Linked DNA regions of Astyanax mexicanus. The protein of the gene in region 1 purifies or fractionates together with the protein of each later gene. This does not show direct contact. Links are inferred from orthologs where the notes say so. Each region holds a gene or a part of one and is shown in the gene's direction. Other genes may lie near its edges. The genes, in order: snx4 and snx7.

Region 1 (13,095 bases):
AATTTCTACTATTTCTGAAACAAGAATCCTCATAAGAAAAGAGAGAGAACGTAACTGTTTGAACGCGTGCTCTTGATTGTGTCCTGCTGTCTACTCTGCAATCATACCATCATAATGAAAATGATGATTGTAATGAGAAATGTTTGGAGCAGTGAAACTCGTAATGACAACTGCAATCAAGGCAGAATTTGTGGCCGAGCCTTTGGGGAGAGCTGTGCCCCATCTGGAGGCTATAGAGAGCTAAGTGGATTTGGATGTTATACAGTATATATTATGTGTTTTGGGACAGATTCAGTTTGGTTGTCAGTGAGTGTGTGTGTGTGTGTGTGTGTGTGTGTGTGTGAGTGTGTGTGTTTTGGGGCAGAGTAGGGAGGGGGGTTGTGAGTGACTGTGGTCATGTTGGGTGTATGCAGCGTTCCTTCCCACGCATCCTCTCTCCGCTATCCTAACGCTGCCACATCACAACACTATTAATTGTGGATTGAAAGCAGATGGGGGGTGGGATTCCTTCACTCGGAGAGCGTGGTGATCTAACAGAACCAAGTAAACATTAAAAGAAGCTGCACAGATATTTCACAAAGACTTCCAGATGTTCGCTGATGCCAACCATCAAAATATACAAGTCACTGAGAGAGAGAGACAAAGAGAGAGAGAACGAGAGAGGAGAGAGAGTAAGAAAGAAGACTAAAAGGCTGCATAAGCAGAAAAAAGCCCCCTCTCCAAACTTTAAAGTAATTAAAATCAGCAGTGACTTCTCCAGAAATAAATTGAAGCCAGAAGTGTTCACTCGGGCCAAGTTTGAAGCACAACCCCTCTGTACTTATGGGAAATCCAAAGGCCACATGCTTACAGGAGGCCCAGAGATGTTGGCCTGCAGTTATTTGCTTTGCAGTCAGGCATGCGCTCTTCTCCATTCTCTACTTGTAATTCAGCAGGTCTGCCCATTCTAACACACTAAATGAACATTCAGTATGACACAGGGCAGCATGATGCAATTTCTGAAGAGAGATTGTCATTGTTTTTATCTTTTCAGTGAAGACAGAGGCCAAAAATAATACAGACTTAAGAGCAGGGGCCTGTTAGTTTTCAAGCTTTAGTTTAATGTATAATACAACCACAGATTACAGTATTAGAAATGCAAATTTAGAAAAAGTACAGAGTTTTTTACTATTGCTTTGACTTTTATTTGACTGCAGACAGTAGGAACGCAATATTTTTCATGTTTATCTGTTCAACTTCATTGGATGGATGAATAGATAGATGGACAAATTGTATTTTAACAAATTAAATTAAGTTGACTACATAAAACATTAAATATCTTGGGTTCATACTGTCTGCAATCAAACAAAAGTCAAAGGAAATGTGAGAAAAACTCTGTTTTTTTGCACTTTCCATGCTGTCCAACCCTTTTCTGATATGGAGTTGTATTTGATAGTAAGAAATCTGCAGTATTTTTCAGTCTTTTAGAGATGGGCCAGGTTAAGGTTAGCTAATGCTATGCTGGCTGGAAAAACATATATCTTGGACTAAATGTGAACCAATTCAGCTGGAGTTAACAATAACCAATATTTAAAGGGTATTTCCTGGCAAAATAAAGGCTGTGACAGACCAACAAGATGTAGCCCAAAAAACAACATCCACGTGATGCTTCTTGCTTGATGGGATGATGTAGATAATCAAAGGCCTTTAAACAAGGAGGAGAATGATCAAAACAGGATTTCTCAGTTTAGCAAGATAACTTTACCCCAGAATTGATTTTGCCTATCCAAAAGCTGAAAGATTTTTTTTTTGGTAAGATAAACTAATTCGAGCTATGGAGAAATCCAGCTTTCATTTCTCTGTCCAGGCCTCATGAGTGAAGAAAGGCTGCACTGAAACCTTGTTTTTTGAAGTGCAGTAATCAAACTCAGCCACTGGGAGGCATGTTGGCCACCGTTTACTGGCCTTTAAACTCAGCATGCTCCTTGAAAGCATTTCCTGAATAAATTAATAACAGCATAATCATAACATCACTCAGAGGCCCGCTCACACGCATGTGACATACAGATGTCTTCAGACCCTCTCAGCAATAATCCATTGTTCTCTACAGCGGCTCTGAAAGACGAAGCTCTGAGCTAATTTCGCGAGATTAACAGAAAGAGAGGGTGCCATCATCACCACATTACTCACATCCCTTCCCCCTAAATTCATTTGGAGACAGAAGAGACAGGTTTCCCACAGCTGCCAATGCAGGGCCTGTTATCTCATGCCAAACAATAAATAGCCATTTATCTTCTAATCTAACTTCTAATCATCGTGGTTCTCTTCTCTGGGTTAGCAGACAAGGCCGAGGCCTGCAGAGAACAATTCTCTGGACTTGTCTCAAGTAGGCAGAGGAGAGAAAACACAACGGCGTGTGTCTCCACTCTCCGCTCTCTGCAGGCCATCACGGGTCTTTACAGCCACAGGGTGGCTCCGGGCCTGTCAGCATCATATCCCTCACTTTAGGCCTGACAATATCAGCATTGTACGGAACCGTGATGGCAGGGCAGCGAGGAGAACAGCACATCAGGCTCTTCAGATTTGTTCTGCAAATCCTTTGTGTGGCCACATTCATCAGCGCTGGCACCACGTCTCCACGCGTGCCCTCTGCCCCCTTTCAGAGTTCACCAGAATTATTTTTAACAGAAGCAATTTCCAACAACAGTCAGAGAGTGTGGCGTGAGGGGACGAGGAGGTTATGGTTTTCTTCTCTCCACCCACATGGTAATATTTCATAATTGTTGTTGAGGGTCTAACTGCTCGCTCACACACCCATTCCATTTAAGGGGGCCTCTGCTGTGCAACAAAGATAATTTGGAGCCTCAAGATGGATATCCTGCTGGAAATTTCCACTGCATATTATACAGTGACATTGCAGCGTGGTCACACTCTGTTGACTTGTTTCATCTGCACAGCAGAAATCCTGCTTCTAATTATAATATTTGGGTGGTGGGTTTAATTTCACAACATGCACGTCCCTGAACATACACTTTCCAAAAGAAACCTCCAGTTATACTGTGAACAGACAGTTTCTGTACAGTTATGTCAAGAAACAAAACAGTAGATCTTTAATAATGTATCATTGCAGTCCCCTTATATTTGTGGTTGCTGATCATGCCAATATACAGTATATACAGTAAATGATGAGATGCTGAAGGTCAAAAGGCCCAATTTATGGGAGTAGAGGAGAAATACAAACTAAAACAAACTAATATGAAATAAGAACTAGTTATTTAGTTGCAGAATTAAATATAATATTCAGTTTAATGACCTGAGGTCCATTCCCATTGTCACATGAGAAGGAATAGACTCCCACCCCCAAACACAAGCTAATATAAGACATTCAATACTTTCTCCTTTGCTTGACTGATAAAAGCATACAGTAGTAGTGGAACACACTGACACCGCTCGGACATTGCCCTCAAACATAAACTGTCCCAACCAACAAAGATCTATAGTAATACTATACAGCTCCCAACACTTCAGTATAACACTAAGAGTATATAGTGCTGTATATATACTTTTATAAAAATACTGCTCAAATTCTTGTAGTTTATGTAGTTCTTGCATATGTGAAATAAATTAAATCTAAATGATGCACCCTACCAATCACTGCTTGTTTCATTAATCTTTCAAAACTATCTTGTACTGAATTAGTGATTAACCATCAATGAGACAAAATCAAATAACTACACATTAAAATAAAACTTCAGTGACAATAACACAGTAATCTCTACACACACTAAGTCTAATTGCACAATAAACCAATTGCTTTTAAATCAAGTAGCATGAATAATAGTATTTAAAGCCAAATCTGATAATGTTTACTCTCTATGCTGAGGAAAGTGTCTCTTTGGGTAACTCTTTGAGAGGAGTGCTCCCACTTTGTGACTAGAATAACAGTTAACAGATTTTACAAAAACGTGTCTAGAACAAATTGTAAAGAGTGATATCTACTGAGAAATAGAATAGCAAGGTTTTTGTAAAGTTGACTGTAAAGCAGTAAGATATGCTAACCATTACAATTATACGGGGCTATACAATAATTTTATAATAACCTATATTTCTTTTATAATATTAAATAATTTATAATATTCCTATAATCATATTTTACAATAATATGTATTAATTGTGTTGAATATGATACTAAACTACAGTAATTATACAAGATTTTAAACTGAATACTGTAATAGTATTTTAGAGGAATCCTGTTAATCTCTGTGTTAATCTCATATGAAATACTGCATGTCTGATTAATCTATATAACTCTACTGTACTGAGGTTTATTAGTAAATAATCTTCAATGAAACAAAGAGGTTCCGAAGCAAAAACAACGTTAATTTCTACACATCAAATATAATTGCACATTAAAATAAGTGCTTTTAAGTCAGATATCATAAACAATGGCATGTAAAGCGGAGTCTGATCATGTTTATTGTTTACTCTCTATGCTGAAAAAGATTTATTATAATGTATATCAAGCATTGTCACATGACAAGGAAAAGACCGCCACTCCCAAACACAAGCTAATGTAAGACATTCAATACTTTCTCCTTTGCTTGACTGATAAAAGCATACAGTAGTAGTGGAACACACTGACACCGCTCGGACATTGCCCTCAAACATAAACTGTCCCAACCAACAAAGATCTATAGTAATACTATATAACTCCCAACACTTACAGTATAAGGTGCTGTATATATGCATGTATAATAAACTGTACTTATGTTTTTGTAACATATAGTATTTGTGTATTCCTATCTTACAATACTTAGCAATAGAAATTGATAGTAGTAGAAAAGGAATAGTAGAGTGAAAGTCAAACAGCATAAACAACTGCATGTAAAGTTCTTTATGCTGAGGAAATATCTCTTTTTGTAAGGTCGATTAAGAAGCATAAAGAAAATAATATTCTGTATGCATGATTAATCTAGCTAAACTATATTAACAGTATTGAAGTTTATTAGTAAATAATCTTCATTGAGAAAAATGGGTTTGCGGGAAAAACACTATATTCTCTTAACATTAACTATACTTAATAATATAAGTGCTTTTAAGTCAAATCAGAGTAAACAATGGTATCTTAAGCTGAGTATGATAATGAGTATGAAAATTTCTAATTGGGTAAGGGTAATTATAAAGTATAAAGAAAATAGAATCGATTTAATCTATACACTATTGACGTTTATTAGTAAATAATCATCTATGAGAGTTTAGGGGTTTAAAAAACACTGTAATTTCCACACATTAAATCTAATTGCACATTAAACTAAGTCAAACAGCATGAGCAATCACATGTAAAGTTAAGTCTAATCGTGTTTACTCTCTATGCTGTGGAATCTCATTGGGTAAGGTTAACTATAAAGTATTAAGAAAATATAATCGATTTAAGATATACAGTATTGACGCTTATTAATGAATAATCATCAGTGAAACAAAGGAGTTCAGGGTTTTAAAAAAACACTGTAACTTGTACACATTAAATCTAACTGCACACTAAACTCAGTCAAGCAGCAAAATAGTGTATATGCCTGGTGACGAAATATAGAATAAGAGAATATGCACACATGAGACAATACCAAAAAAGTCTATATAATAGAGTTTAAAACACACATTAAAACGAACTGCTTTAGCTTTTAAGTGCTTTTAAAGTCAAACAGGTTGATGAATGGCCTTTAAAGCCGAGTCTGATGGTGTTTACTCTGTGCTGAGGGAAATGTCTCTTTGGGTAAAGTTAGCTCTTGGAAAAAGGGCTCCCACTTTCTGAGGCTAAACTAGATAACAGATTACAGTATTAAGATTAAGCCTTTGTCTTCCACCTTCTGCTGTAGACTGTCATTCTCTTAAAATACAACTAGAACTAGCTATAAAGAGTGATATCTGCTGAAGAGAAGGTGTATATTTAGGTGAAGTCTTTGTGAAGTTGGCTGTACAGCAGTAAGGATAGGCTAAAGTCTCCTACTCACTCAGAGAGAAGAGAACAGATGTTAGAGCCGAGAAGCTGCAGCGCATGCGCCCCATAATCCCGAGCCACGGATCTCCGTTTAAGGTTCCCCGAGCTGCTGGACTCTTTCCTTTCTTCTAACTTCTCCTTTCTAACTCCTTTCTCTCCCACAGAGCAAAGATAGCTAGCTTCACATCTATGAGCGGCTATCGGTTCTGTCCTACGCGCTGGAGCAGGAGCTGCTGGGACTGAAGGCTCTTTCTGGCTCGCCTTTCCCTGTAGGCGGATCCAGATGTTTTTAATCCAGCTGTGTGAGGAGGCCCGCCCAGGAACTCCACTTTATTCATGTAGTAGATCCTTTAAAAGCCTATTCACTCTTCAGCAGCCTTATCAACTCGAGATACAGAGCTAAACTTTAGAGGAGCAGGACTTTATAGTAGTACAGTGAGGTTTGCAAAGATATAGGTTATTCTTAAAACTTAGTTTTAACTGATAAAAACAGACCAGATACACGTTGAACCCAGTGAACACAGGCCTGGAGGCATGTGCACATAAACAAAGCCTGCAGGAATGAGGGAGAATGTACCGGCATTTTACCGACATGAAGTCTGAAATAATATAGATTAGAGATTGATTATATAATAATTAAACATAGATACTGATTTAATAAAAAGACAAAAGATGTGTATAGTTGTTCCTGCCGATGGAGTATCTTTACAGAAGTTACAGTATTAACTTCTCTTCTTAACAATCTTTTTATATTTTTATACATTTATTTTACCTACAAATATAATATTTAGAAACTACATGCATATGTACACCACATAAAAATTAGGCTACATGAAATTCATAATTTCTAATAACACATACACTGATTTTATATTAATTTATATGAATTATATAATTGTATATTTTATATGAATAAGCTAAGATAAATACAATCATAATTTAACAATAATATTCCCACGGGGGGAAATTTGCAATGATACGACAGCATAATGGATTTTGTTTTGTGACAATATTATATGAATACATAAATCAAAAAAATATTGCTTAAAATTATAAATACATATTTTAAATGAGATTTAATTATTTAAACATTTTATTTAATTACAGAAAATAATTTTCATTTAAACAATGAAATGAATCAATTTAAATAATTTAAACATTTTTCTACTATTTCTTTATCATTTAAAATATTTATTTTTCATTTCAAGCAATTATTTGTTTATTCATTTATTTATATAATATTATCACAAACCCCTACATAATTAGCGCAGAGGACAGAACATGCAAATGACTAGAAATTATAAATTACATGCGATAAATTTTGCATTTAATTCAACCCTGTTTAAAATAGAATATGTGAATTAATAGCCTACAGAAAATAAATATAAACCTAAATACAATATCAAGCAGGTATATAATTTAGTATTTTAATTTAAAAAACAATAATGTTCATCATTGTAATATTAATCATAATCATCTACCCATTTTTCCCTCTTTTATTTCTTATTAGGGGGTTTGTGTGTGTGTGTGTGCGTGCGTGTGTGTTTTTTGCTGAAATTATTAAATGTTTTTTTAATTATTATTTATTCAATAAATATAAAATTTCATTACAGAGTATCAGTAAATAAATAAATAATTAAATAATTAAATAAATAAATAAATAAATGGGACTGGGAGAAACGCGCATGCGCAGAAGCCGGACCACAGTTCAGGATGATGGCGGATACGGGAAGCGAAGAGATAGCGGTGATTGGAAACACAGACCTGACTCCCTCCGAGTTAGAGAACAACATTAAAAACACGGTAAACTGATCGCTGTTATTTTCTGATTTGAGCGGAAACGCGGTTCCTCGGGCTGCGGCTAATCCCGCGCTGTGCGGGTGGTTCGGGCTGAGGGAGGCCGGGGGAGAGTGAGAGGGGAGGCGGGCGGACAGCTGGCGGTCTGATCCGCCTCAACAGCTGGAGCTTTAAACAGTCTGAACCAGTCTGAGTCTAGTGAGCACTGCTGTCTTACTGCTCACCTGACCAGCACCTCACATTACACAGAACATGCTCAGATACCTCTGATTATGTACAGATAGTTTACTATACTATACTCGGTGGTTCTCAGCAGTTTCAATCCACCCGTCCCCTGATCGCAGCTAGCTAACATTAGCTAGCCTGGGAAAATTTTTACTTTTCTATTCGTTGACTAGTTCGCTCAGGAAACAGCTAGTTATCTGGCTTTCACTCTTTAGTTTCACTAAATCATGTGTCAGGCCACTTTACACAAATTCTAAAATAGTTAACTGTCCAGTAGAATGTCCGTCATAAAGCTCAGTTAGCCACTAAAGCAGGTTAGCTATGTGTGTTTAGGTACAGAGAGTGTTTACCTCGTGATGTGTCATCAGATCTGTCCTGTACCAGAGAAACTCACAAAGACAGACCCGGAGACAGTCACAGCACTGCCACTAACACCTATACAAGATTCACTAGTGGTTATATTTTAACCACAGTGGGATAGAAAACTAGTAAAATGTGTACTTCTACTCTCTTCCCCTTTCCATATGAAATAGATATGCTAATCATATTCTGATTGTGTCCTACAGATGGTGGAGAAGGGGGCGACTCTTCTGAAGAGGATGGAGATCAATGTGGCTGAGGCAGAGAAAAGGACAGGGAAGAATGCAGTCAGCATGCAGGAAACCTACACTGTTTATCTCATTGAAACGAGGTAAATCACACTACATCAGAACAGCGTGAGAATAAAAAACATAGGCCATAATTGAAACGTTTCTTGTACTAGTTAAAACACAATATATACTAAAAAGATGCAAAATAAATACTGGTAAATATTAACTTAATATTATTAACATATATTTACATTATGGCACTGAATGTACAATATATACAGTAACAGTCAAAAGTTTGGACACAGCTACTTATTCACTGTTGTTCCTTATTTCTTTATTTAATTTATTTTCTGCATTGTAGATTATTATTAAAGACATGAAAACTATTAAATGACACATCTGAAATTACATAGTAAACAAATAAAGTGTTCGGCCTCCACAATCCCCTGACCTAAACCCTACTGACAGAGTATATCTGTCCAGTATTATTCATTTTTCTTTAGTCCTGGGATATATGGAGATGCATGGAGTGCATTATTAGTATCACTACATTCTGGGTCATTGACTTTTGTTACAAACCCTGCACACACAAATTACCGGTCATTTATGATACAAAATGCAAGCCTAAGCATTACTCCTAGATGTTATATTTCTGAGATTTCTGTTTCTGATCAAAAATAGTTGTAAAGTAAGGTTTCTTATGTTACTTACTAAGAATGCCGGAATGTATGTGTTTATTTTAGTAGCATAGTTTAGTAGCAAAAATGCGGATGTGAATAGGAGACCTCTAATAATCCATGAGAAAATAATTTTAACTTGAGAAATTACAGAAAACGAGCATGCTTTCGTTATACAAATCATGAAGTGTTACCCCTGGGGATGACTTCGGAACGCCCAGACCATTGTATTTATAAGATGTTATATTGTAAGTGAGATATGGAAAGGCAACCTAAATATTGTAGTGAAAGATGGTTGGGATGTTCCTTTCTAAAGTTTTGTGTGTATCATGTGTGTACCTGAAATGAATCCTAAAACTCAATGATTGTAGCATCTGGCAGCATCTGGTTTAAATTGTCAGTACAGAGAGACAAGTGACTCAAAATTCACATCCACATTTAATGCAGTATATAACGTATATATCCTGCAGGTCAGTGCAATTTTTTTTAGCTTCCATGGGGCAGGGCACATGATACTAGTCCAATGCCCGGCTAATATCAGTAAAAATACTTTAGCTCATACTTTGTCAATCAAAATAGAGAACCTTGCATTACATCATCTCTGATTTCTACTATTACAACTTCATTATTGGGTCTATAGGTTACTAGAGAAACCACAGCCCAGTGCAAAGCAACACTAGTCCTTCAGCGAGAGTGTGAAACATATCACATTGCTGGAAAGCTGTTCCAAGTTTTTTTTTTTTTCTCCACAGACCCTAAACTAAAGTCTGTCCACAGGATGCAGGCATGTACAGAAAAAAAGATTGTGGGATAGAGTTCTCCCTATCACCCCCATCATACATTCTCTTTCTTTTTTTGCCCAAAAAGCTTTGTGCTGAAAAAAATCAAGACATACCACTTTTGACATTTTGGCAGAGTCAGCAGTTCCCGCAGCCATATGCTCTCTGTAACGTGTTTACTGCAGAGCTGCAGACACATGCTTGCCTGAATCGTAGTCACATGACACGCATTGATAATCATCACAACATTTGCCTTTTTATCACTCCATCTAACATCGAGCTGAGCCGAATTGTGTGCTCTTGTTTCAGCAGGGCTGTTCTGTGGTCAGCGTTAAGCACGCATACAGTCAGGTCAGCATCTGAAATACAATCAGTCATGGCAGAAACAGCAGAGAGATTTTACCCAGCAGGAAAATTGAACTGTTAAGGAAGGCATTTGTAGGATGCAGGACTGCAGGCAGGGAGACCTGTCTATTATTTGTACCTTATTATTTTGCAGCCATGTCTTTGTAATTTGTGCAGCATGTGGTTTTGCGTTGTCTTTTAGAAAAATGCATGGATGTCCCTGATAAAGATGTGGTTTTGCAAGCAGCATTTTTGCTCTGCGAAAGCCCTGGCTTGTTGACTTGTTGATAGTTACATTCTGGACTAGAACTCACTGCATCCTGCATTTAAAGAAAACAAAAAAACAATAAAAAATCTGAAATCCTGTTTTGACTGACCACAATACATATATTTCAACTGTGTCATGATCCATCCCAGATGCTTCTGAGCCCAGAGTAGTTAACGCCACTTCTGTGCATGGTTGTCATAAGGATGCTCTTGTGTTCAGTAAAGTTTTAAGTGGCATTTTTTAAATATAACTCTTTATTGACAAAGTGGTTCCTTGCGCATATGGTTCACATAAATGTATGAAAAGTTCACTTATAAAAAGTGCAGTATATCATCTTGCTCAGAGTATGACAATACATCACAGTATATTGAATCGTTTCTCTTGTACTGGGCCTATACGAACCATGTCAGCAGGTTATTGCCAACAATACATAGCAATATATTGAGTACTGCTTTGCGCTGCATCAGGAAACAAAAAAAAAATCTCCCTAGCTCAAACTTGGCCTTGGAGTTGAATAGAGTTATATAGAGCTGTATATTGTTAGCTTGGCCCATGAAAGGAAACGCATGTTTTTGTAAGGGTTTGTGCAAAGTGCGCTACACGCACAGGCATACATAAACACACTCACTCACACAGCCTGTACGTATTTACCCCAGGCAGCTCAGGGAGAGAGAGTGAGAGGGGTTTTGGAGGTTTTGGGGTAAATGGGTTTTGAGCGCAGTCACGCAGTTGGGATGGAGAATGCCCCCCAGCAAGTGTGGAGCCTCTGCCTTTGTGGTGTGGGTTTTCAGCATAGAGCCCCATTATGTGCTCTCATTTCCTCCCCTGAGTCCTCTGGATCCTGGGCTCTTGTTTCGTGGGCTCCATCATCTCTCTGTCCCCCTCTTTTTTTTTTCTCTCCTTCTCTCTTACTCTCTCTCTCTCAACTTCTCTCCCCTCTCTCTACTTTGTGCTTATGCCAAGTGCATTATTGCATAATAAGTAGGCTACGTGCTTCTCATTAAGTATAAGACTGTGCAGAGTAGTGAAACGATATAGTAACATTCCTCCCCCATCCCTGCTTTCTCTGCTTTATACTTGTGTACTTAGCCCCTAAATTAGAAGCACTTGTGGTTCCAGGCACTGGGGATTCACTGAGATTACACGTCACAGTTCAATTTCTGGCATGTGTTTGAACAGGCACTTAAGATGTCTGCCTTTGTGGACGACATCTTAGCCGTCTAAAACTTTGCGGATTTCTGTTTTTGTCTTCGCTTGCTCTGTTTAGTTTGGACGTGGGGTTAAACCATTGAGCAATCTCGCATTTCCCTGTTGAAAGATTCTCAATATCTCTGTATATGTAGAAGTATATTTTAGGCTTGGTACATCCACTACCCTGCATTCTACATTTGGTTGCTTACTTTTTGTCTTCAGCTGCTGGAGTTTGTGGTACACAGTGAGAGAACTTGGTGCTCAACCGTGAGGTTGAGGTTGGATCTCAGCTGATAACATCAAGTCAGTGTTTCCCTTAAGGAAAACATTACGCTGTCAAAATGGTTTTATTACATCTTATTTTAGAAAAGTAATAACAGTACCTCATTCATGCGGTTTATCCTAACTGGTTTCCACTATATTCAAGTCCTCATTAGCACTGTGGAGCTATTAGCGTCGGTAAATTGCTTTGGCAAGATAAAGTCAGGTTTTATGTGACTCCTTAAGTCTTAAAGGGCCTTCTATTCATTAATCGTTTATCTTTAAAAAACTGCTTTAATTTGTCTCAAAATTTTGTTAAATCCGCCAAAACCCAAAAGTCTTGTAAATACAGTTTAGTTATCATTTTTACAAATTGCATTTTGCAGTTTCTTCATTTAATATGCAAGTTAGCTAACTGATTTCACAACAGACTGATCAAGCTAAACCAATGTTAATTTTTATAGATCTAAAGGACAGAAAAAGGCATGGGAAAGTGATCTTTTTTCAGTATAAAAACACCTTAGTATACGAACATTGCATTTTTGTTTGTGCAAAACAAACTTAATTTATGTTTGTGTTTGTGCGTTTTGCCATTTTGTCATTGTTGAAATTGGTATTAATTTTGTTTCTAAGTAGTAAAAAAGTTTTAAATTTCCCCATATCTGCAGATAGCCTGTTCAGTTCTTATTGAAACCTAAGCCATGTTGTTGTGTTCTTTCCTTGACCTTTTCCAGGGCAGTGGATCCTTCATCTGAGGGGGCCAATCCAGCTCCTCCGGACTCTCTGTGGAGGCGCTACAGCGAGTTTGAGCTTCTCAGAAACTACTTGTTAGTCACATATTCATTCGTCGTAGTTCCACCTTTGCCTGAAAAGCGGGTAAGTGAAGTGACTTGCTCTCTTGAAAACAGCTACAGTATTTGTAAACCTGTAGCTGACTGTGTTTGCTCTGTGTTTATTACAGGCAGAATTTGTGTGGCACAAACTCTCT
Region 2 (12,993 bases), on another chromosome or scaffold:
AGAATGAGAGCAGATCTTTCATCACTAGTTCAGGCCCATATTTGCCCATTAGTGCCAGCGAGCAGATGACTTGAGGAGAGGCTTGGTTATTAGCCAACCTTTAGACCTTCTTCAGAAGCCATTGTAACACATAATGGCCGAAGCAGGCTAACTGATGGCAGATGCCAGGTCTTTGTACAAGATGTGGTACAGCGTTCCTTCAAAAATGAAGAGAAAGCAGGTCAGAAGTAGGTACTAGTAGCTTGGTAACGGAACAAAAAAAGGAAAGCAGAAAGCAGCAGAAGCATGGTGTAATGAGTGATCATTAATATGACGTGTACAAGCTTCTAATGATGGTTATAATCAAGCCACAGTTGTTGGATTGGACACCTGGTAGGAATTCAGCAGCAGTCACATTTAAAATGCATTTAGGTGCATGATTGCATCCATATGAAATCCTATGTAATGGTTCCCATCTGAATTCAGGAAATCTCCAGGAGCAAAAAGGATGAAAAATCGTAAAAAAAAGAGAGATAATAACCAGAGCACACGTCTGGGGGGAAAGGAAATAAATAAATGTGTGCTTTGCAACTGCGCATCCGCCAGTGGTGAGAGATGCTAGTCTGCATGTGGTTTTAATTAGAAAGCAAAGCTTTTTGACAGCAAATTGATTTTTAATTGTTCACTTCTGCACTCACTCCAGGTGGCTCGGAATCATCTTCATTTGCTGTTTTACGCGCTTGATGCAGGGTATAAAAACACCCCACTACACAAGATGGTGAAGACCTGCCAGCTATTTGTTGCACCAAATCGCACAGATTCCACGTTTCAGGGATATTTGGGGATATTTGGGGGTATTTAGACATAATTGTCTGAAATGCCTCCTCTAGCCAGAGTCTGCGCTCTGAAACAGCAGCAATAAGGGATTTTCGAAAGACGGTCTGCTCGGCCACTCTAATGGCCCTGACAGGAAGGAAATGCAATTTGAAAGGAGCTGATCTATGTAAGCCATTGTTGTGGCATAATGCTGATCTAATTATTAACCACCACTGATGGAGGAACAGTGCTGTGTGGATTTTCGCCGGGGCAGATTTGGGATGATGCCATTGGATCGGTGTTGGGTGCCAGCCTGCTACAGCTAGAGCTGCTTTGAATCTCTGGAGGTTAGGGCCATGACTTTGCTTCTGCCCCATTGCCACTAGTCCCTCTATACCCCAACTGCAAACCAACATCATGAATTAGAGGAGTCAGAAGTGGAGATGTAAAATACAATGCTGGCTACAAATCCTTGTTCAACCTCAATGTTAATTTTTTTGTTTTTTTGCATTATTTTATGCATCACATCTCTGACATGTAACATGAAAATCATGTGAAAAACACTAACTCCAAACCTGCTTGATAAAGAGAAAAGCTGTTTAATTTGTTAAGCAGGGTAATATAACTATGGGCTTAGACTTTTACTGACAGATGTTTGGGTTTTGAGCAATTGCTTTGGGTTTAGAACCATGTGTCCCATCATTCAAAGGTGCTGGAAGTGACATCTCGACTTCTAAGATGCATGAAGAACAAGTAACAAGATCCCAATCAGGTTTAGAGACTATCAGAGAGTAAGCTGTTCCAGACCTCTTTTTAAAAGCAGACTTTGCCTTTTCTGAGGTGCCATTTATCACTCACATTTTGTACAATTAAGGAGCAATTAATGCCCTGTATTGAACGGCTCTCACTAATGCTGGCACTCCATCAAAGCCCAGCACATTGAGCTCTCACTTTAAAACCATCATCAAGAACACATATCTGAAGTGCTGCACTCAGATGGTCGACATAAAACAAAAAAGAGAGGAAAAGGAGAAAAATACAGGGAAAAAGTGATCCTAACATCAGGTTTATATCAATCTCACAGACAAACGATATCAAACGGCAGCAAGACAATACGATTGTGGCGCCTGTGACCTTTTCTGCATTCGGTGCTCTACCAGTCTGGGTTGAGCACAGTAAAGGACTGACCTTTGTAGAATTATTCTAATACTGCCTAATCTGAATTGTTGAAGGATATGCTACTCACGCTTTGTGCAAAAGGTTACACAATCTGTATGGTTGTGGCATCATTCCAAGGACTTCTTATTTGTTGGAGCTTCTGCAGGTATCAACAGTGTGTACCAGCAAGATATTACACCACACTTTCTAATTAGAGTACCTCTGATTGCCTTCCCTCTACATTCATTCAAGTCACTGTGATAAAGACCAATGAGATAGATCTATTAAACACTACAGTCGCTACTTCAGAACTTCCCAGATAACATCTTAATTTAGGTCTTCTTCATTCATATAGAAACCTGGATTTGCTCTAACTCATTACAGCATCATCAATTACAACTAATTGAACAGATTACTGAATTCATTGACTGATGATTGTACATAGTCTATACATGCCTTCACATAAATCTGAACAGGTATCATTCCCAGCTTTGATCAAACTTTAAGCAGAACCAAGCACCACTTCTCTCACTCTTAATACATTGTTTTCTGTATCTAATGCCATGAGTTTCATTATGAAGCTACATCGAGAAACTTATACAAAAACACAGACATGCACAGACCACTAGACAAAACCAGACAGACACACAGACCTGCCACATGAAAACTTTTCATGCCAGATGGCTCTGCTGTGCAGTTGGCTGTGCTACAGTGACATCTTTTGGTGATGCAGATCAACTGCATGACCAAAACAGGTAACAGACCTCATGTAAATATGAGGTTAAAAGTAATATACTAGTGCGGCAAAAAAAAAAAAAAAGTAGAATATCAGTGAAAAGTTGCTTTATTTCAGTAATTCAGTTCAAAATGTGAAACGTGTATAGTATACAGATGTATTACACACAGAATGATCTATCTAATCATTCATGTCTTTTATTGTTGGTGATTATGTCTTACAGCCAAAGAAACCCCAAAATTTGAACCATCACTGATTGAGGAAACTTCACACTAGACCCTAAGCAGTTTGGATTGTGTGTCTCTCCACTCTTCCTCCAGACTCTGGTCTCTTGATTTTCAAATGAAATGCTGCTGGTGTTGGTCCACGGTGTTATATCAAGTCCAAAGTCAGTGCAGTGTTTTCCTGGAAAATCTTACAGCACTTCATGCTTCCCTCTGCTCACAACATTTATGGAAACGCAGATTTCATTTTCCAGCAGGACTTGACACACTGCCCACACTGCCAAAAGTACCAATTGGTCTTATAATATATAATATTCAAATTTTCTGAGACCCTCATTTTTGGGGTTTCAATGGCTGTAAGCCATAAGGATCAACGATAAAATAAACAAATGCTTAAAATAGATCACTCTGTATTAATACATCCATATAATATGAGTTTTGCATTTTGAACTGAATTCCTGAAATAAAGCAACTTTTCATTGATATTCTATTTTTTTAGATGCACTAGTAAATAAAATTGTTTACAGGATATAAGGCAGTTTCCATCAAAGCAGACTTTATTATAAAGACAAATCAACTCAATATTATAAATTCAACATTTAGTGGATCTGTACTCTACATAGTTAATTGTTCTTTGTTTCTGTCTTTAAAAGAGTTGCACTTCTTTGAAGCTAATAAAATAAAGGCTGCATAATATTGGAAAAAGTATGACAATTATTTTCACATTTGATATTAATCATGATTAATGAAAAAATAGTTAATGTACTTTAATGTACAAGTGTACAGCAATTTATTTTGGTACAAGCTGCTTAAGCTGCTCAGTTGAATCAGGGTTTGAGTTCTCCTCCACATTGCTTCCTTGTTATACACTGGATAGGGAGTAGTTATGTAAATACAAATATGGCTTTATGTTTGACAAGACAGTACATGCCCACACACAATGTGAAAAATATTACAGAATTAAAGGAAAATAAAAATTAACGATAAGGGAAAGACTGCGTCAATTACAGTTTGTGAATGTAAATTGTGATTGATTTTTAATTACTTGCCCAGCCCTCTATACACATTGTATTTTTCACCAGAAGTCAGCAATCCAACACGTGATAATATTAAAGATTCAATCCATTTTTTTAAAACAATGGAGTAAAATATACAACACTGAACAGATATAGTATAATATATCATGGAAAATAAGAGAACATTGAGAATTTCCCTTTTGCATCAAACAGCAAAAAACTTTTGACATATAGGCTAACAAAACCTCATGTAACATTATACATCTAGCAATGTGACTACTGAAAATATACACGTTGTAATGGTGATGCTAAAACAATATATTGCGCAGACCTCATTCAAATTACTTGAACTCTAACTCAATTATATTTCCAAAAGGGATACATTCATTTAGACCTCATTTACATTCCTAAAGGTCATGAAAGTTTCTTACTTCTCTAAACCTTTTTCATTTCAATTAAAAATACAATCAACTTTATGTCAATGTAAATGAAACTGCCCATAACTTCCAGAAGTCCATTAGCCTTCGCAACACACACCTCCACAGCACAGGAAAGCATATTGTGACTCATTATGTTACATTTTAAATTAGTTACGTTTTCATGATTTTGAAATATAGATGCTGTTTGGCTCCATACTTCCACTTTTAACGGAGTATGATTTTTTATATGCAGCTCAATTTCCATTAGGCTCTCTGTACTTTTCCACCTGTTTATAAATGAGCATTCTACATTTAAATACTTAAACTCTGATAAAGTTTTCTTTCTAAGACATTTAGGTTTTACCTTCACGTATATTTTGGTGATATAATTTGTGCTGTTGTTGTAAGTAGAGCTCTTGATTTTACACATTAAACCAGTTTTGACAAGTTACTAATATGTACAGTACCAGTCAAAATTTAGTGTTTCCCATTATTTTCAAAAGTTCTGCAGGTCATGCAGAAAAACATATGGAGTAATTTAGTAATTAAAAAGTGCTAAACAAAACAGAATATGGTTATATTCTGGTTATATTCTAATAATGTAGATACTTCAAAGTAGACACCCATTGCTGAGATAACAGCTTTGCAGATCTTGGAATTTTCTCAGTCAGCTTTATGAGGCTGAGTCACCTGTTGTGGCTTTCAATTAACAGCTGTGCCTTGTCAAGAGTTAATTACTTGAATTTCTTGCCTCTTAATGTGTTTGAGCATCAGTTGTAAAGTTGTGAAGAGGTAGAGCTGGTTAACAGTGAATACTGTTGAATAACGTTTTAATCCATATTATAGCAAGAACTACTCTACAAAGTAAAGAAAAAAACTACTTTAAGAAATAAAAGTCAAGAACTTTGGAAGTATCCTCGAGTGCAGTCGTAAAGACCAACAAAATGTGATGAATCTTTCTGGCTCTCCCCAGGAAAGCAAATACATTTTAGGCCATTTTTTTCAAATGTACTTAATATATTTTAAACATTTTACATATGTTTCATTCTGCGTAGGTTTTCATTTAAGATCAGTTTTTCTGCACCTTTTTTTCATGTTTATACAAAAATACTACTTTTACATGTTTTTATTCGGGTACTTTTACTCTATAGTAATTTTTGTATTATCACTTTTGTCATTGACATGTAGTTTAAACATACAGCTCTGGAAAAAAATAAGAGACCACTTCAGTCTCTGAATTAGTTTATTTGATTTTGCTCTTTTTTGGTATATGTTTAAATAAAACTGACATTGTTGTTTATTCTATAAACTACGGACAAAGTTTCTCCCAAATTCCAAATAAAAATATTGTCATTTAGAGCATTTATTTGCAGACAATAAGAAATGGCAGAAATATCAAAATGATGCAGAGCTTTTAGACCTCAAATAATGCAAAGAAAACAAGTTCATAATCATAAAGTTTTGGTTCAGAATGGTTTAGAAATCAATATTTGGTGGAACAACAATGGTTTTTAATCATAATTTTCATGCATCTTGGCTTGTTCTCCTCCACCGGTCTTACACACTGATTTTGGGTAACTTTATGACGCTCCTGGTGCAAAAATGTAAGCAGTTCAGCTTGGTTTGATGGCTTGTGATCATCCATCTTTTGGGATCATCCATTTTTTTTATTTGGTAAAATCAAAGAAACTCATAATATTTAAGTGCTTTCTTTTTTTCAGAGCTGTAGAATGTTGGTGATTGCTGTGCTGCATTTACTGTACTCTGTACTACTAAGTTACCTCTCACTGTTGTTCTACAGTGAAGGGAGCATGTTTTTGTTTAGTGGGTTTAATTTTCCTTAAGCTCTAGAATGTTTTGGAAAGCTTTCAACTGAAGTATCAACAACAGGCTACGGACGGTGCATTATGTGAATGTGGGTTTACTAACTAGTTATTTTTATTAGAAACACACAGGGCGAACCCGGGTCTACCCCAGCAGGCCGGGCTACTTTTCCAGTTTGTCCACCTGAACTTTTTCTCTCTCTCTGTGTGTATAGCTCTATCTATCTACTCACTCAGCCAGGCCTTCCTCTCCACTGCAGATTCAGCTCTTCTTTCCTGAAATGGTATTTCCGATTCTGCGCACTCTGCTGCCCCTGCCTGTCTGCCCGCCTGCCTGCCTGCCTGCCAGCCCGAGTTTCAGAGTTTCACTCTGGCGGAAAAGTTTGCATCATGATCAGTGAAGTGATCTGCTGATCTGAGAGAAAGGAGAGATTTGAGCCATGATGAGCGGGACGGTGGTCGACAGCGGCAGTCCCACTGCTGCAGTCCCGGATGAACTCTCAGGACAAATACTGGACGAGGACGAGGATTTTGAGGTTTTCTGTAAGGTAAAAAAACTCGCTGTCTCAGAGCTTGTGGAGCAGGAGAGGAGCTAGCCTCACTGAGACCACAGAGATAAATAGTGTGATGATGGCTGCCGCTACGTGGTCTGTCTGTCTGTGTGTTCATGTGTATGTGTAACTTATATAACGTTATAGCAGATAAACTGAATTGTGTAAAATTGTGTTTGAAGCGGTTGAGTTTGAGCTAGCTTAGCTAATTCTATCTAACTTCAAACTAAGCTCAAACTAAGTTAGTTGGAGTGAGTGTGCAAAAGTGGACACTCCCAGCATCCAGTCAGTTCAGTCTGTAGCCTAACTATAACAAATGAGAGCTCTCTCTATACAAACAAATACATGCTATCTAATACTAATACACAGTTTAGATAATAAAAAATAAAGGAAAATACCTTATTATCATTGTTAATGTTTGTCGCCGCCGCGTTGTTTTCCGTGTTTACGTTTAGTGTTGGGGTCCAAAGGTCAGAAATCAGCTGAGGTTATTGTTATTATACCAAACCCTAACTAACTTACAGCTTTAGCTAATTCTCTACACCGTTTATCTGTGTCTGAAACACAAGAAATGCTGACTTAACCTGTCAATTACCCTAACCTGTCTCACTCAGCGTTAGTTAACCTAGTTAACGTTAGCTATGAGGGAGTGTAGTAATGATTTAAGTCTCTGTAACCGGATTAAAATAGCTGCTACCTAACTATATATAAATACGTCCCAGCGTTGCTAGGGTTACAGACCGGTCACAGCTAGATATGAGTGTTATTTCTGTTGCTATTAGCCATTAGCATTTCAGCCCAATCAAATAAAAGATTAACCTAAGCTAGTAAGTTAGTTAGCTAAGCTAGCTAGCTTAGGTCAGTTCCATTTTTATAGCTTAGGAATGATCAATTTGAGGCAAAATATTGAAATAAAATATTGTGTGTACAACTTAATTATATGATTTTGTCAATTTGGCATAGTCAAAAACTGTTTTTCATCCATTTTTCATTTCTGCCCAACACAAAAAAAGTAAACTCTGTAATATGATTTTGTTCTGTTTTCCATTTAACGTTACTTATCTTGGAACAAATGTATGTAGCTAGGTTTAAAACATCATATTTTTGTTACAAAGTGCAAAAATGAAAAAAATGTTTTTCAATATTTCAGACTGTGAGGGTGCAGAATTTGGAAACTTGAAAAATGGAAAAAATATATATATTTTTCTTCTTTGTTATGTCAAACATAAAAAAATAAATAATAAATGTTACCCTCAATATTTTATTTTCAAATGTAGCCTCGAAAGGTCAGAAAATAAATCTGATAAGTGTTACAGTGACATAGCTGACCTAGATAACTGAATTTTGTTTTCAGAACGTTTGTGTAATGTTTAACATGTTTAGAGTGCTCCTTTAACATTCATTTGTCAGGGTCAGGGACCTTAATGCTTTTAGAATATTTCATTAATATAATTGTTGTAACAATGTTTTTCCTAATGCTGGCAAATGTTTAGAAGAGTTACATTTTAGAGTAATATTTAAGAGTAACATTTGCTAAATAGGTTATTATTGTAACATGCAAAATGCAAGGTTAGGTAACCTAAATTTTTTTGGTATTTTATTTATCTTTTTTTGGGGGGAGGAGTGTTTTCTCCTAACCTTCAGAAAACCTTGGACATTGCTGAGCAGTTTGTTTAATAATTCCTTGTTTTAGGACCTCCTGAAATCTGCTGACAGCAGTGGAGTTTGTTTTGACAGGAAGCTTCCATGATAGGAGGAGCAGTGAGGCTATGCAGTAGAGGTGTGCCAAAAAATCGATTCACATAAGAATCTTGATTCTCATTTACTACGATTCAGAATCGATTTAAAATGTCCCAAAATCGATTCTGAGGGGCGGGTTTTAGACTGATTTTGGGCTGGGTATTTTTGTTGGACCTGGCAACCCTGGGGATAGCGCTTGTCCTTTCAAACGGAGATCTTCCAGACACACACAGAGCGTAGGTGTTTGAGAATCACCGGTAAGATGGCAGAACAAGCACTATATTACATTAGATTAACGTGTAGTTTCAATGTTTTATGGCAGAATGCTTCATAACAAGCATAAAAAAGATCGCTAGTAGTTAGTTTCAGTAACTGTTAGCTAGCTAACTAGCTAACTTTCCAGTTCCACCTTAAATAACGCTACAGGTGGCAGCGGGCTGCAGCATTTAAGGCGGAACGGAAAAATACAATAAGCTAATCAGAGCTAATTTCAGCTCCTCATCACAGAGGAATTAAGGAATGGACCATATGAATTAATTTCTCCACCTCCTGCCCCCTTTCTGAAGAAATACAACGACCTTAAATTAACTAGTTAATCAGCAGCTGCTCCTGAACTTTAGCGCTCCACTGCTATCATCACATCAGCCCAGCAGCGTCACCTACACACCACCGCTAGTAGCCTGGTAATAAAGCAGTGTTATTTATTATTTATTTATTGTTCATTAACGTCATTGTGATATCCCAGTGATTCCTCTGTCACTGAGGACCCACATTCCTGCACATTTTATTGTTTTTGTAACACATTACCTGCTCCAGGACCAGTGTATATTATGGAGGGTTTTTTTTCAATAAGATTCATAAGCCAGAAGCAGAAATTTTTATAATTCAAATCGTTTTGAATCAAAAATCGATTTTGAATCGAATCGTGGCCCCCAAAATCGGAATCGAATCGAATCGTGAGATAGTAAACGATTCCCACCCCTACTATGCAGGCCTCTGCTTTTCCTCACAGATCTGACCTATCTATCTGAGAGTTTGGATAAAATGAGAAATATTTGCATGAGTCTCTGATTGAATGGTGATAAGGCAGTAGGCTTTGCTGGGAAACTCTGATCAGGATACACAGACAAAACACACTGGCACTACTACAGCATGAATGATTTTAATTTTTTGACTGAGTCTTCACAAACTGCTTTTGCAGTCAAAGAGCGCAATAAATGCTTAATTAAGAAGTGTTCTGCAATAAAGAGATGCACAGCTTATGACCAAATCCAAAATAGTAATAGCTTGTCACTTAGTTAATAAGTGCAGGAAGAGTACAAATGCTGCAATGTAAAATCAATGTCAGTGTTCTGATGTCCATGTGAGCTATAGAGTGATTTTTTTAGAGCCCAGTTTTGTCTCTCAAACCCAATTTTGTCTGTTTTTCTTGTCTTGTTGTAGGATTCAACCTTCACGGACGGAGGCTCTTTGAATGCCTCCATGCAAACCTCCCCTGGCTCAATGGTCAATCAGTACAAGTTTGAGGAGGAGGAAGAGCAGCCTGACACTAAAGACATTTTCGTCACAGTCGATAACCCTGAAAGCCATGTGACTGCCATTGAGACTTTTATTACATACAGGGTTTTGACCAAGGTACATCACAAACCACACTCTGCAGATTAGTGCTTGAAAAAAGGATTCAACTTCATTTACCATCTAAATGCTTAAAATGTTTTTCTCTCTCTGATATTAGACCACCCGTAGTGAGTTTGACTCCAGTGAGTATGAAGTCCGCAGGCGCTACCAAGACTTCTTTTGGTTAAAAAGCAAGCTGGAGGAGGCTCATCCCACGCTTATTGTTCATGTAAGTGATCTAGAGATGAAGGCATGCAATCTTTCCTCTCATTTGCAAATGCAGCCATTGTATGTATGTATTCGCATTTCAGGCTTCTATCTAGATATGTTAAAATGTGATTTAACTGATTTAAGAGGTGCTAAGTTCTATTTAAATAGAACTTGTTTTTTATGTGCTTTATATACTGTCACTTTCAAAAAACAATATATTAAAAACATATTTCCAAAACAGGAACTTTACATGAGATGGTTAAATATTTGTAACTTTTTTCATGTTTATTAATATATATGATATTTTCATTTGATCGAATCAAAAGAAGTCAGGTCAAATGAACTATCATCACCTGCTAAACAATACAAAAATATTCCTTAATCTATTGTATGTAAATTCATATTAATTTGTATTTAGAAACAGAAAAAAAGGGATTTAATCGGAAAAGGGTAACACTGAACATTGAACAAAAAATACAAGGCTTCGACTCAATCTAACCTTGTTATGTCCTTTGTTCTCTGCTGTCATGCTGAACAATGGCTTGTTTGTGCTGCTTCAGCCACTGCCAGAGAAGTTTGTGATGAAGGGAATGGTGGAGAGATTCAATAACGACTTCATTGAGACCAGAAAGAGAGCGCTGCACAAGTTTCTCAACAGAATAGCTGAGCATCCTATTCTCTCCTGCAGTGAGGATTTCAAGATATTTCTCACAGCACAAGCCTGGGTAAAGCACAAACACACACACACACGAACACACACACAACACACACAGTTACAGTCGCAAACCCCTGGAGCCATGCCTGCTCAGTAGTGGGTTTTCAGACAGAACCAAAACAGATGATATGATTTTACACGTTAGAGATGGGCTGGTCAGGGTTTAATAAACCAGCTCTGTTACAAGATATATAGCAGATATTTTCATTTTATATACTTATACATTTCAGAAACTCAATACAAGTGCAATATAAACATCCTGTCAATCCTAATCTGATTATTTCTTCAACATATGCACCTTTTTCCTATTCATGTTCACCTATGCACTCTTGCAGTTCCTCTCTTAGGATCAGGCTTTGACTGCAGGAGGTGCACTGAGGGATGTGTTAAGACTATAATGTGAAAACCTGCATGATTCCATCACAGTTTGATATAACCCATGAATATCTGTTGCTGAAAGTCAAAACGCTATTTCGTGTAATAAGAAATTCTTTCTTTTTCCTGCACTGGAATGCAATGATGATACTGTCAGTGTTTCCATCCTGCTCCTGTCATCTACAGGAGCTGGCCTCTCACAAGAAACAAGGACCTGGTTTGTTGAGCAGAATGGGAGATACGGTACGAGCAGTTGCTGCATCAGTCAGAGGTGTCAGAAACCGGCCAGAGGAGTTCAATGCCATTCAGGACTATGTGGAGTCATTCAGTCAGAAAATGACCTCACTGGACAAAATCACCCAAAGGATCATCAGAGAAAAAAAAGGTATGTTTTAAATCTACCATTATAAGAATGAGACTGATATTAAAATATACAAATATCTGTATTATTTTTTTAGAAATATTTTAATAAAAAGAAACACATACTCATAACACATACAAATCATATTTTTGCAGGTTTGCACCTCAGTGTAGTGAATTTTATTAGTTTATTAAAAAGGACTGTTTATACATCCAAGCCAATTACACACTGGATTTCTTCTTTAAAATATATATTTTAAATACTTCCTGGCACTGCCAAAGTTACAGACAACTTGAGTTGTTATATACCAGTCATATTAAAGAGTGTATCATTTATCATTTTTTTACCAGTTGAGGCAAAATCTGAAAATAAAATATTGTGTGGAAAACTTTATTTCAGTTTGTCTGTTTGGCATAGTCAAGAACTGTTTTTTCCCCCTACTTTTTAAAATTTCATACTTTCTCAATTCTGCCTCTCACAATCAGAATAAAAGAAAAACACACTCTGTTTTTTCCTCGATTTAAATGTCATGGCCTTCTGAAAGCTACCAATATGTAGTGTGAAGATATTTTAAGCTTTTTAATGATGGTAAAATAGCCCTGTACTCGTCATCATGTTTCATTACACCAAAAATTAATTTGACATCAGATTTCTCCTTTAAGCATGTGTATGATTTTTAGTTTGTGTATATCACCCTCAAATTGTTTACCTTGTATTCCCATCAGCAAGTAAGAACATCCTCTATCACATGGAGGAGGGCTTTCTAGTCCTATTTTCAAACTCCTCATTATTATGGGCTGTTGTATTGTAGTATTGATTAATTTTGGACCTAAACCTGATTTGATTCAAACAGGCTATTGGATGGTTTTGACACTCTGTTGCTGTAAGTACTAAGTTTAAATGCCCACAAGGGCTCTGTGCTCCATTATAAAAGAGTCCTGAGACATCATGTGATCAGAGAAATTCCAACTTGCAGATAAGATAATTTTCCATTTCATGTTAAGTGAAATGCCATGTAAATCCCTTACAGGGGTTGGACAATAAAGCACAATGAAGGGTAAGAACACAGTTTTACTCAAAATATTGCAATGAACACAACATAATGGGTGACATACCAGAGTTCAAAAGAGGACAAACTGTTGGTGCATGTCTTGCTGGCGCATCTGTGACCAAGACAGCAAGTCTTGGTGATGTTTCAAGAGCCACGGTATCCAGGGTAATGTCAGCATACCACCAAGAAGGACAAACCCCAT

What was found.
Region 2: the proteins of snx4 (region 1) and snx7 purify together in Homo sapiens (affinity purification with mass spectrometry; 3 studies listed by BioGRID and IntAct, counting the BioPlex papers as one, with this or other methods). This does not show direct contact. The link is inferred for Astyanax mexicanus from reciprocal best matches to the Homo sapiens genes SNX4 and SNX7.

Annotation. Positions count from the first base shown.
Region 1 is NC_064418.1:37,869,315-37,882,409, reverse strand, and holds the start of snx4 (sorting nexin-4), read left to right. Parts: upstream 1-7,652; 5' UTR 7,653-7,687; coding exon 7,688-7,777; intron 7,778-8,562; coding exon 8,563-8,687; intron 8,688-12,841; coding exon 12,842-12,983; intron 12,984-13,068; coding exon 13,069-13,095. Other genes in the region: tgfbr2l (TGF-beta receptor type-2), read right to left, coding at 5,988-6,042. UniProt on the Homo sapiens protein: Involved in the regulation of endocytosis and in several stages of intracellular trafficking. Plays a role in recycling endocytosed transferrin receptor and prevent its degradation.
Region 2 is NC_064413.1:37,368,521-37,381,513, forward strand, and holds the start of snx7 (sorting nexin-7), read left to right. Parts: upstream 1-6,479; 5' UTR 6,480-6,611; coding exon 6,612-6,719; intron 6,720-9,905; coding exon 9,906-10,097; intron 10,098-10,197; coding exon 10,198-10,308; intron 10,309-10,849; coding exon 10,850-11,014; intron 11,015-11,565; coding exon 11,566-11,764; intron 11,765-12,993. UniProt on the Homo sapiens protein: Involved in the regulation of endocytosis and in several stages of intracellular trafficking. Together with SNX4, involved in autophagosome assembly by regulating trafficking and recycling of phospholipid scramblase ATG9A.